3 linked regions of the Drosophila melanogaster genome follow. The protein of the gene in region 1 interacts with the protein of each later gene in a pairwise test. Each region holds a gene or a part of one and is shown on either strand. Other genes may lie near its edges.

Region 1 (4,731 bases):
CGAAATAAGACTGCAGGCCTAACAAGGGGTGGTGTCTTCTGGATGTTATCCATACCTGTGAGGAGTCTTTTATTTTGAGTGCCTGGACTTTTTGACAATTAGACCCATTTCTTACTATGGCTTCCAGTATAATATTACTCAATTTTATTATTATGAATGTATGTATAGTAAATTACAATTCTAATGGGCGCTCGGTAAAATATTTCGCGGGGGGTTTGTACATAGGTGGTGGAACTCCCCATCGTCATTTTCCTCCTCCTCCTTCCATCTCGTTTACTCAAAAGTGATATAAAAACGTGGAAAACCAACGCAGAGACTAAAATACACGATGCTTTGCGTTACTGCTTGTCCGTTGCTTTCTCTCTCAATTGCCACCGTACAGAAAAAATGTCCAGAATATTTAATACCGTCCACCACCACCACCGCCTCCTCCGCCACCACCTTTGCGGCGATCGCGATCGTTTCCGCGATCATTGCCACGCATGTTGTCCCGCTCGTTGTTCAAGTAGTTTCCTCCGCCGACACCGTCGCCTCTGCCGCCTCCTCTTCGACCCGGGGATCGGGACCTGCTGCGGGAGCCGCGACGGCGTCCAGGGGATCGGGAACGGGAGCGGGCACGACGGCGGCGGGAGTAGAGGTACCTTCGCAGCTCACGCGAGATGGGCTTCAAGTGCATGAAGTTGCAGAAGCCGGAGCGGGTACATTCGCCCATCTCGTACTGCCGACAGCAAGCCTCGCGGAAGTCGGTCACCGGCGATAGTTCCGAGTACACCGGTCGACCACCGAACCACCGGTTGTTCAAATCGTTTGCCGCCTTTTCCGCATCAGCCTCGTTACGGAATTTGATGTACACATTGCCGACCAGATGGTCGCCTAGGTTGTCGCACACGTTCATCTCCTCGATTTCCCCGTACTTGTCCTCGCACTCTACGAACACGTCCTCGAAAAAATTGTCGTAGTGTTCTTGCATCTCCTCGTCGGAGACGTTGGCCACCAGATGGGAGCCATCCGCGGATTTGGCGGAGTTTTGGGGGTTCACGTATAGATTTTGGAGAAGCACCGTCTGCGAGAAAGTGGGTTTGTTGTGGATGCGAGAGCACCGGTCGCCGTGGCGGCAGGCGCCGATCTTGAAGTAGAACGAACAGTTCACCCTGGGAAATGCAACGCCATTTAGTTATTAATCCCGGCAACGTTAAAATAAATGTGCCATGCGACTTACTTGTCCTTTTCCGTGCCAAAAATGGATGCCAAGTACTCGGCCATGCTGGCGGCTTTACTGTGGTGTTGCTGTGGCCAAAATGTGTAACTTATCTACCCGCTTGTCTCTGCAACGCGGTCAAACTGCAATTATGTTAGCCGCCTGTTTATTTAGTGATAATTTTCAATTATTTTCGGAAACCGAAAAAAGCAGCGTCTGGTCGTATTTTGCACGGCGTTGCCAGCCTCGAATCTAGAGTTGCAAATAAAATCGATGATTAGTTATCGATATTTAGTGTTTTTGGCAGCATCGTTTTTCGATACCTCTGTTCTTAATTTAAATGTTTTAAAATATGCTAACATTTTAAATATTAATTTCAAATATTTAAATATTAATGCACTTAAAAGCCTGAGGACTTATTTTTCATTTGACTAGAAAAATTTTACAATTCAAAATAAGAAATTGAGAAAATTATTTACGCAAATAATAATATAATATAAACATAAATAAACAATACAATAAAATAACATTTAAATTCTATAAAGCTCAAGGTATTATTTATATTTGATCAACAATTTTTTTAATTTATATAAGCAATGGAAAAAATTATTTAAGAAGGCTTGCTGGTTTTGTTCCCCGCTTGAGAACGAGCTAAGTTCTAAACCGCAGTCTGGAAAAAGATTAAATTCAGTCGCAGAAGCATTGACAACCCTATCGATTGCTTCTAGAAAAGTCGGCATTTTTCGCATTTTCACCTGGCACGGCACATTTCGCAGCGTGTTTTATTAAAAAGTCGTACAAAAATACAGGAAAAACTGTAATTCGACAGCGCTATCCTCTCCCTTATCAGAAATGGACAAGGTAAGTGCCCGAGACAAAGGAAAGGCGTTGGCATTTCCAATCAAAAACCCTTGCGGTTTTCGCAGGTGAACGAACTCAAGGAAAAGGGTAACCAGGCGCTCAGTGCCGAGAAGTTCGACGAGGCGGTGGCGGCGTACACAGAGGCCATCGCTCTGGACGACCAGAACCATGTGCTCTACAGCAACCGTTCGGCGGCATTCGCCAAGGCTGGAAAGTTCCAGGAGGCGCTAGAAGATGCGGAGAAGACCATTCAGCTTAATCCCACCTGGCCTAAGGGTTACTCACGCAAAGGAGCTGCCGCTGCGGGTCTGAATGACTTTATGAAGGCCTTCGAAGCGTACAACGAGGGTAAGTTCAAACACAGCTCAGTTATATGCCATGAATCACCCGACCTAACCTCACTAACCTCGGTTACCGGCGCAGGTCTCAAGTACGATCCCACGAATGCTATACTCCTGCAAGGCCGCATGGAAACTACTGCCTCGGCTCTGAGCTTTATGCAATCGCAGGGGGATATACCCATGGACGTTGATCCCCAGCAGGCACGCAGCCGCAGGGCTCCATCGCCACCGCCGGCGAAACCGGCTGAGCCCCCAAAGCCCGCTGAACCTCGGGTAGAGGACATGACTGAGGAGCAGAAGAATAAGTACTTCGCGAGGAAGGAGAAGGAACTGGGCAACGCCGCCTACAAGAAAAAGGACTTTGAAACGGCCCTAAAACACTACCACGCTGCCATTGAACACGATCCCACGGATATCACGTTCTATAACAACATAGCTGCTGTTCACTTTGAGCGCAAGGAGTACGAGGAGTGCATCAAGCAGTGCGAGAAGGGCATTGAGGTGGGGCGCGAAAGCCGCGCCGACTTTAAGCTGATAGCTAAGTCCTTTGCTCGCATCGGTAACACCTATCGTAAGCTAGAGAACTACAAGCAGGCGAAGGTTTACTATGAGAAGGCCATGTCCGAGCATCGCACCCCTGAGATCAAGACCTCGCTGAGCGAGGTGGAAGCCAAAATCAAGGAGGAGGAGCGAATGGCCTACATCAATCCGGAGAAGGCCGAGGAAGAGAAGGAGCAGGGCAACCTTTTCTTTAAGAAGGGGGACTACAGCACCGCTGTAAAGCACTACACCGAGGCCATCAAGCGCAATCCGGATGATCCCAAACTCTATAGTAACCGCGCCGCCTGCTACACCAAGCTGGCCGCCTTTGATCTGGGCCTCAAGGACTGCGACACTTGCATCAAGCTAGACGAAAAGTTCATAAAGGGCTACATCCGCAAGGGCAAAATTCTACAGGGCATGCAGCAACAATCTAAGGCGCAAGCCGCTTACCAAAAGGCCCTGGAACTGGACCCCAACAACGCGGAGGCCATTGAAGGCTACCGTCAGTGTTCGATGAACTTCCAGCGCAATCCGCAGGAGGTCCTCAAAAACGCAATGTCCGACCCGGAGATTCAACAGATCTTAAAGGATCCGGCTATGCGTATGATCCTCGAGCAGATGCAAAGCGATCCCAATGCGGTCAAAGAGTAAGTACCCGTTTGGCTTTATTCGTTCGCTTTTTTGGGTTTCATTGGTAAAATCTAGAAATTAATAGCCCATTTGAAGTTAACAAGCAGACTTACGTTTCTTTGGTCTTATATATTATTAACAACCTGTATACTATATTTTAATTAACAACCTCTATATTTCAGACACTTGCAGAATCCTGCCATCGCCGATAAGATAATGAAACTGCTGGAGTCGGGCATCATTCAGATTCACTAGGCACTCCAGATCCACAAACGAACATCCTCATACAATCACTAACTCACACACAAACCCCATTGATAAACATTCAGGAGAGAACCATTACGCATTATTATGGCGTCTCTAAGCTGGTTAACCAATATATCGTTTTTGATGAAACGGGCCACAATTAATGCTAAACGTAATTACCTAAGAAATCACATCGCCTATTCGCAGAACGACGATAACTACCATTAACAGAAATTTAAACTAAAAGGAGAAAACAAAATCATTGATAAATGTCTGCCTAATTGATTTACGCAGACGGGTGGAGTAGGCTCCAAACGTCATGGTCCTTATTTTCTTACTACAATAAATATGCTGTAGCTTAGCTCTAAAATAAGTTTCTGTTTGTACAATAAACGAGTCACGGAAGGGTAAGCTATGATTTTGAATTTGGCGCCCAAGGGCTACAAGATGGGTAACTTACGGCTTAGCAGTCGTTCTCTAACGTTTTTCCAGGGCTGCCAAATTATTTAGAATATATTTTATATTTATACAAAGAATGATTTGCGCCAATCGCCTTTTAAATAAGAAATTTAAATGTTATTATAATGCAAAATCGCATATTTTCGGAAAAAAGCATAGACTGCAAATCTTTATTTTGAAAAAATATAATTTCGAATGAATTAAGTTGTGAAATTAAAATGATTAAAAGCAACAACCTGGCCAACCTTTTTGTAATTATAATGTGTGAAATATTTTGTATTCTTGGGCAGCCCTGTTTCCCGCGCTTACGTTATTATATCCAACCGATACGTAGTTTCGTCTTGCTCAACACTGCAAGCCGCCAGTGCTACAAAGGCCCTGCAGCTCACTCGCAGCAAGTGGCATGGCAACAACAGCGCTGTTCAACACCGCACGATTTCTACCCGAAAATAA
Region 2 (4,850 bases), on another chromosome or scaffold:
AATGCGAAACTTGCTGCCAGTGTGACCGCGCTGGGCTTCGAATTTGTAGCTAAAAAGTGCCAAAGGGCGCCTAATATAAGACGAGCTACAGTCGTAAATTTCGACAATAATAAAGTTTAAAGTGGTTCTTTAAAAATTATCGGGATGTAACTACAGTCTATTGGCGTAAACATTTAAGTTTTCGTTTTATTTGTAAAACAATAGTAAGTGTTAAGTTAATCTTGGTTCATGTCACTGCTAATCCAGTGTTTGCTAATGTCGTTCAGTCTGTAACTTTCCATAGCGGTAAACTTAAACTATGCAAACACGTAACAGTTTTTCAAACACTTATTTATTTTGGCACAACTGCAAAAGAGTAATACTCGTTTCCAACGAAAACAACTGGTTGTTCACTAAATGGCGCAACCTAATTGCACCATAAATAAGCATATCCAGTCGGTGCACAGAAAACAGCTGGCTTACCCAAAAAAAACACTCTGAATTCGCTATTTTAATCTCTCCGAGAACAGAACACACCTTTTCAACGCAAATGCCGGTCGACACTGAGTGGATTGTTACTCCACGAACCGAACATATACTCGACTAGGGCCGCTGGCATTCATTATCAGAACTGAATGCATGTGTATTTCGTTCAGAATGTACATACATAAGCTATATACCAACTGATATGGACACTGGATTTCGGATGGGGAAAGTCAAGCGTGTCGCTCCGATAACGAATCAGTATGTTTTGGACTCGGCTAACACAAGTTCAGAGCATTCTGAACGTTATTCCAGCCTAATCTGCTAATATCAATGGTGTTAATATTAGTTGGACATAGTACACTCCCCACTTTAAACCGAACGCATTTGTTTATATATCGCACTTCTATACTTTCCGATAATAGTGCTTGGTAACGGTGACTCCGATTAAACAAATGACATATAACAATGAGTGCGATTAAACAATATATGACGGAGTCACCATGAGTGAAACTAAATGTGTTTGAGGATTTTAAGTTATTTTTAGCTAAATAATGATGTTACATGCGTGTCCTATAAAAGCTTTCACGCTTATTAAGATTATTAAGATTATTGGACTTTACAATAATGCATATAATTTAAAAACCCCTTAGTTTTTGATCAAGTTTTAAGCTGTACAGGAAAAACTAGATTTCACCCTCTGAGTACTGCTTCTATTTTTATACACATTGTATGCAAAGCTTTTGTGGCATACGAACTTTTTGACTCACCAATATTAATGACAGTAGTTATCGGCCGATCTCCTGCTGCTTTAACGGAAACTCTATAAAATCGGGCATTTTGATAAGTAAGACTTTCATTAGCTTACCATTTATTGGAGCTCCATTGGCCTCCGGATGAGGTTTAATCGCGTTGTCAAACATTATCGTAGTGTTTTTTTGTTTGGTTATAAATTCGCTATTGGGGACACTTTTAAATAGCACAAAAGCTGTAGGGATTCCCAGGAAACGAATGTGGTAAATGTGGTTAACTACTAACTATTAAGTGGCAAATGTCCGAACAAGAAGATTGCACACTTAACTAAGCAAACCAAATGAAAATCAATGTCAATTTGTCAAGTTGTCCTCGTGGGAAAATCAATTAAATAACCAGCTGGCGAAATCCTTCACAAATTCCACATTGACTTACACAAGCTTTTTGGCCCGCCAATTGGTTAAGGTGAACTAAAGATTGAAATATTGTCTAAACAAGAAATATTACAATAGATGATCAATATTTCTAGTATTCATATTAGATTGTAATATTTTTTCCGCCATTGTTTATGGCACAACTTTGCACTTCCTTACGAATAATAGTTTACAACAATACTTGTAAAAATATGGATTTCTATAAGTCGAATTTTTAATAGAATTTCCAAGTTTATAGGGATCAAATGTAAAAGAAATTCTGGGAAACTACAATAGCAAGCAAGTTGGATACTGCGTATTTATTAGTAGAATTCTTCGCGCTCAGTAATGGATATCTAATAGTCGTGACACTCGACAATTTCTTTATTAATTTGAAAGTGCAGCTGTGTTTGATCCCTTTTCATAAATATTTGTACATTTTGACTTGGGGATAAACATAATAAAATAATTGCAAATGATCAAACAAATCGTATACAATTCAAGCTTACGATTTGAAGTCTTTAAAAGCTGAAACAACAATATATCAATGAAAAAACACCCAAATGCACCAGCACTCCATAATCAGTAATCAGTTTCAAGTTCAACCATGCAAATATGGCTGTTGGCCAACACACTCGATGATTCAATGCGAATTGAATTGATTAGCACAGGGGATCACGTTTCTGTATGACAACATATTCACATGGCGTTTATCATGTAACCGACTTCGACTGGATTTGGTTTTCGGTTTTCCGTCTCCAGTTTCACTTTCATTCCAGCATCTGGGCCGGCTAATTGTCAACGCAGTTGGCTAATAAGCGCGAGTGTAGATTAAATAACCACTATCCGGTACTTTGGTTTAAATCCAAGCAAATCTGCGCGCGATAACGCCCGAAAGCCAACTGATTTGAGTGGCGGAGCACTGCCAAGTGGCCACTGGCCGTTGACCACCGCCGCGTGTATCTGGAGGCGGAAAGCCGGACCGATGCACTCGACCACACTTCGGCTGGAGCGGCTTACAGTGAATCGGGTCGCTTAATTACACATGGACACTATGTGCTGGTCTAATTTGTATGCGTAGCCCGCCACTCGAAAAAAAAAAATTAGCCAGCAAACAAGTCGCTGTATTCAAAAGCGTATTGAACACGCACCGGGCACTCGGATTCGAATTCGAATTAGGATTGAATCTCGGATTCACCTGACGCCGCCGCGCTCGAAACACGTCTAAGCCCGGCTAAGCGCTCCAAGTTGGCCCGTACCCGCAGTCGTCGTCGCTTTTCCAGTTTCAGTTTTCTTCGCGTTCTTGATTATCTCGAATCTCGAATCTTAAATCTCAAATCTCGACTTTTGATTTGAATTTCTTAATGGGGGTCTTCGGCGCTAATCACAGGTCGCAGATGCACACGCATTCCCGGCCCAAAGTCACCAGATAATGGTGATGGATGCCAGCCACCTCTCTACTAATCCGAATGACGATACAGTCCGGCTTCTGTGCAACGAACACGCCGTTTAAAAGGCGTTTGTCACATTGCAAAAGAGTGGCACTAATTGGAAAAACTGGAACCACCAACTGCCAATTTACAAACTGGGCGCCTGCGAAAATCTGTTTTTCCTCAAATTAAATCCACATTTTTGATAGTTGCTCATGGCAACTTATTGGGTTCGTCAACTAGACTCGTTTTTTTTTATCATGAAGTAAAGTTGTAACAAATCTGTGCTACAGCAAAAAAAAAACTCTTATAAAAGTGTTACATTCTTTAAATGCTATTTAGAAGCAAAGTTAAGGGCACAAGATATAACTACTGACCAGAAATTATGACTGTAATGAAGGTAGTTTTAATTTGAGATTTGACATCAGTTCTATTTAGGCAGTGCAGCCTGTACCCGATGCCCTAGCCAATTAGGAATAGGGCGAGCCAGGCTAAAGATCGTCCCGTAAACAATAAACTATTTGCCTTTCAGGTGTTTGTTATTTCGAGCAGCTGTTTTGCGGCAGAAGCCAGCAAGTGAAGTGACGGCTAATAAATAACCGGTTATTGATAAGTATTCACTTGCATCGAATCACAGCGGACAGCTTCGCACCCTGACCATGAGATCCGGACAAAAACCTCAGTGCCAGACGTCGTCTGCTTGAGATCGAGAGCTGAGATCCATTAAACAGATCGCGTTTAGTCCAGTAAACCTGCCAATTGGCATATCAGTCCGGATTCTAATGCCGTAATTACCTGTTCTCGCCACTGAAATTAGCTGGTCGCTACCAGCTGGCGGTGGACTTTGGCTCGCTTTGCCCAACTTTACGGCCAGCAAACAATTGTAAAAGTGATTTCGAATGGTGCTCTTTGCACACAAAGCTGCCGCAATTGTAGTCACGCAATTGATGCGATTCCAAATAGTATTCCAACTTTTCAGTTGCCTCGCCAAGTCTCATTATGCCCAGCGGCGTACTTAGCGATTCCTTTTGTCATTCTAATGGCCGCTCGGCACTTTTTCGACAATGCCCGCAACCCATTTGCGTCGCATGTATGTGGGCTCTATGGAGATGGAAGCGTGGCCTTGACCCAGGTTCCGGGTCCGCGTGACGGCATCACCCATTAAACGAGGCAGCTAAAGATGCTGGCATTTGAGAAGTAAATATCTATGGGCTAAAGCCTTATCTTTGTGTCAGAAAGTAACTAAGATTGAAATTAATCATTCTATCAACCAATTCGAAGGTATCATAATGTTTCAATTACGTTTGAAACCCATAATTGACTTAAGATTGGCTTTAATAACCAGATATGTAGAATGACTTGAAGTAATTGCTCCGAATCAATTTCAATCACAATCATGATTACATATCGAGGTATTCAATCAATCCATTCTAAGATTCATTGAACGATCGTATGCAATCCACATCTTCGCTCAGTTTTTCGAGCTCCAACCGGGAGTACGTTACTTACCTTAGATTGGCTTCAAAACCCAGAAATATATTGATTGTTCCCATTCAATTTCAATTCAATTCAACCAATCCATTGTAAGCATTCATATGGAACCATTAGCTAGTTGAACTCTTATGCACCCGTGAGATACAGTAGCCTATCTTTAGGCTTGCGCTGTGGAACTCAAGTGTTCAAGTGAGATAGAAAAAAACGCAGAGCAGTGTCCACAATTATTAGTGTATAATTTATTATTAAATATGTTATAAAATTTGTTTATCGTATAAAATATACTCTTACTCTTGTC
Region 3 (3,322 bases), 5.7 Mb from region 1:
TACGAGTTCTCACCGCGAGACGTGGCACCTCCAATCTTCTCCACACGCGCGATCACGCCCAGAGGCACGTCGACGACGACGGGCGGCTCCTGATCCCGCAGGGGAAGCGACCGGAAGTACAGACGGTAGTTGGTTATGGTAAGAGCGCCGAAGACGGGGCCGCGGTACGGACACACGTAGGTCACGTCGTTCTTCTGGTCCTGGTCCTCTTCGCCCTCCAGATAGCCGAAGGGCGTGTCCCGCAGAATGCCGTTTTCTCCGCCACCGTGCTTGGAGCCCAGCGAACTGGACTTGGAGCTGCTGTCCAGAGAGTTGCTGCTGGCAGTCTTGGAGGCCAACTTGTCGGCCAGGCTCGCGGAGGGATCCATTTTCGGATGGACACGAGTGGTGTTTGGCTATTGTGTTGCTGGTTGCAGCTGTGTTTTCTTTTCCAATTGTTAGCTAAATGCAATTCACCAAAACTCATGCAGCAGTGCTGCCAACTCACGCAATATAAAATCATCTGGAATAATTTCCCATTCCTCCGACAAAAGTACCAAAGGGACATTATGTAGTGGCGGAAAATTTGATTTTTATGTATTGGAATTAATCAACTTATTTCAGACATTTAACTGGTAATCAAGGAAAGCTAGAACAATTCCGCTTTTAAAAAAATCTCTAACATATGTATTTAATGCTTAATAAATTAAGTGTTAGAAGTGGCGTCTTCTTTAAGTTTACAGCGCATTGATTGTGTGACAGAAAACATCGGACCATGTCCTGGGATTATAAACTCGCACAGTTGTGCCATTTTACTGCGCTCCTCGCGCTGCACCTTCTCGTTTTCGCTTCCAGCGTCCATCCAAATGTTCTCATCGTCGATGTCCTCGCGACGCTCGAAGAGATCTCCGGTGATACCGACCCGTCCACCCAGCTGGGAATTTTCCACAAGAACTGAAACGCAGCTGAGGGTGTGTCCTGGCGACCGCCTCACTACCACCTCGGCATTCGAATCTAGGGCCAGTTGCTCGTCTGGATTACCACTACCAAGGTGGTCCATGTAGAGGTCGTGATGTGAGGCACATGCGCCGACCAAATGCATTCGTGCCTTCTGAAACAGATAGTTGCAACCGATGTGGTCAGAGTGTCCGTGAGAGCAGACCACCACGTGGATGTCATCGACGCCTAGTCCCTGCTGGCCCAACAACGAACGCAGGTGATCTCCATCCCAGGCCGTCAGTGTGTCCACGATTATGTTGGTGCCATCCCGGCAGCGGACCAGTGTGCATGTGCAGTTAGCCCGCATGGCGGACTCGTCTCCTTCTTCTTGGCGAGAATAGCCGACCTGGAGCACGGTCACCTGGTTTCGTTGCGCAGGATCAGTGTATGCCATTGTTTAGTTGTTTAACAACGATAACGCTCTAGCCTATTAAATTATTTAGGGTCAGCTGCTTATCAGCTGTTGCTTACAAACAGAAATGTCAACTCGTCAACAACCTGTTGAAAACTAGAGTTGCCACTATGAAACTTTTGACGAAATAAACAAATTACTTACGAATTAAGTAATTACTTATCTAACTTGTATACCGCTAATCACAGTTCAGAAATTATTTTAAGTTTTTTTTTACACATTGATTCCATTATTGGTTTCAGTATAATGGAAATTAGGATTTCATGGCAACACCGACACCAGCTGATCGCCAAAAATTCACTCACATGTTTATACGGCGTAATTTTGTTATTATTCAACGATTTCTGAATAAGCGTGAGATAAAGTGGCATGTATCTGAACCACCTGCCGCGGACACAATGGAAGTACCTACAATACCTTCTGCGAGTGCGTCAGCTTCAGCTCCTGCGACGGCACGTTAACATTGGCGCAAAGCCGCCCATCCAAACAGCTGCCTTGCTGCCGGCATTGGGCCAAAAACTGAGGAAGCACTCGCAGCTGGTGAACGGAGATCTCCAAGACAAGTTTGGCGTGCCACGGGAACAGGATGCTCTTCTAACCCGACTGGAGGAGGCCAAGACGGGTAACCAGATTTTAGATGTGTTGGAGAGCTGTGACGGCCTGCAGAGCTCCCATGTGGTGATGGGAATCTCACTGCTGTGGAACATCTATCACGACGCGGAGCAGGCAAGTAAAGATGCCATCACGGATCGCGTGCTGCTTAACGTGCTCCCAAAGTTGGCCCCTTATGTACACCAACTGGAGATCGATGATCTCAGTAGATGCTACCTGTACCTGCGCAAAATGCATATACCAAACTCCGAGGCAGTCGTGGAGGCCGTGCTGACGAGATCTCTTCAATTAATCGAGTCACAAGTTGATGACGAAGTCATTCCCTTGACCTCCTTGTCTCGCCTCTCGGTGGGCATCAACTTGGAACGCGACTTCTTCACTCCGCTTGTGTGTAGGAACTTTATTCCGCACCTGGAACATCACATCAATTGGTGTCGCAGCGCAGAGCAGGTTCGCCTTCTGTCCACGTGCCTCTTTCAGCTACACTTTCTCATTGATGAGGAGCTGTTTACGCGCTTCAAGTTGCGCTTGACTGAAATGATGCAAAGCGGCGTCCTCAGCAGCGAAACCCCTAAGGCTCTTCTGAAGGTGATCCACATGCTGAATATTCCAGTGTGGTCGCAGACCCACACCCAATTGATTCGGGAGGTCATGCTGGTCTTGCGACCTTGCATACACCAGATGGAGTCTGCAGATCTAAAGAGCATTTGTCGCACATTTTTGCATCATCAAGAACCCGCCGCACTGATAGAGCCGCTCAAGAAAGCCCTTGAAAAGTTACTACAGGAAGAAGGCACTGCTGACGCCCTGTTTTGTGCAGTTCCCTTTGCAACGCCACTGCAGAGAGACCAGTATCTGCATCAGTTTAAGGAACTGCTCTACTCCGAAGAGGCCTGGCAGCAACCCAATGCGAGCGGACATTTATTCAGCGTTCTGCGTGCACTAAAAGTCTCCGACATTGAATTCTGCAACACATACTGGTCAGGAGTTGTAAAAGAGCTGGAGTCCTGTCCGGAAAAGCATTTGCACCTACGGTTCCTGAGACACTGTCAACGCTATATGAACTTTAATAACAATCTGGGAGGAACCTACCGTCACTTAGAACTGGAACGAAAGCTAAGTCGCATGTGCATGAATGCTATTGAGCATGACATAGCGGGAAGGCTGCCAGCGAAGTTCGCACGACTTGCATCCTTTGTGCTAGCTTACGGGCAGACTCCGTTGGCCTGGAAGAAATTTCCCAACTTTTTGTTAAGCAAAATGCTCGCAATGGCGCCCCAGCTTGGCATTCAGGATTGCTTTCTCCTCAGTCGCGGCATG

The links.
Region 2: the proteins of Stip1 (region 1) and Aldh-III interact in a two-hybrid assay, tested with the Drosophila melanogaster proteins (one large-scale study listed by BioGRID).
Region 3: the proteins of Stip1 (region 1) and CG9117 interact in a two-hybrid assay, tested with the Drosophila melanogaster proteins (one large-scale study listed by BioGRID).

What each region holds. Positions count from the first base shown.
Region 1 is NT_033779.5:293,222-297,952, forward strand, and holds Stip1 (stress induced phosphoprotein 1), read left to right. Parts: upstream 1-1,900; 5' UTR 1,901-2,050; coding exon 2,051-2,059; intron 2,060-2,124; coding exon 2,125-2,407; intron 2,408-2,482; coding exon 2,483-3,590; intron 3,591-3,755; coding exon 3,756-3,828; 3' UTR 3,829-4,228; downstream 4,229-4,731. Other genes in the region: U2af38 (U2 small nuclear riboprotein auxiliary factor 38), read right to left, coding at 401-1,151, 1,220-1,263.
Region 2 is NT_033778.4:7,474,110-7,478,959, forward strand, and holds the start of Aldh-III (aldehyde dehydrogenase type III), read right to left. Parts: upstream 3,054-4,850; 5' UTR 2,138-3,053; intron 1,451-2,137; 5' UTR 1,386-1,450; coding exon 1,331-1,385; intron 1,272-1,330; coding exon 1,233-1,271; intron 551-1,232; exon of another isoform or gene 463-550; intron 22-462; exon of another isoform or gene 1-21.
Region 3 is NT_033779.5:6,036,444-6,039,765, forward strand, and holds CG9117 (uncharacterized protein), read right to left. Parts: upstream 1,460-3,322; 5' UTR 1,373-1,459; coding exon 686-1,372; 3' UTR 554-685; downstream 1-553. Other genes in the region: mtm (myotubularin), read right to left, coding at 1-368; CG31643 (uncharacterized protein), read left to right, coding at 1,760-3,322.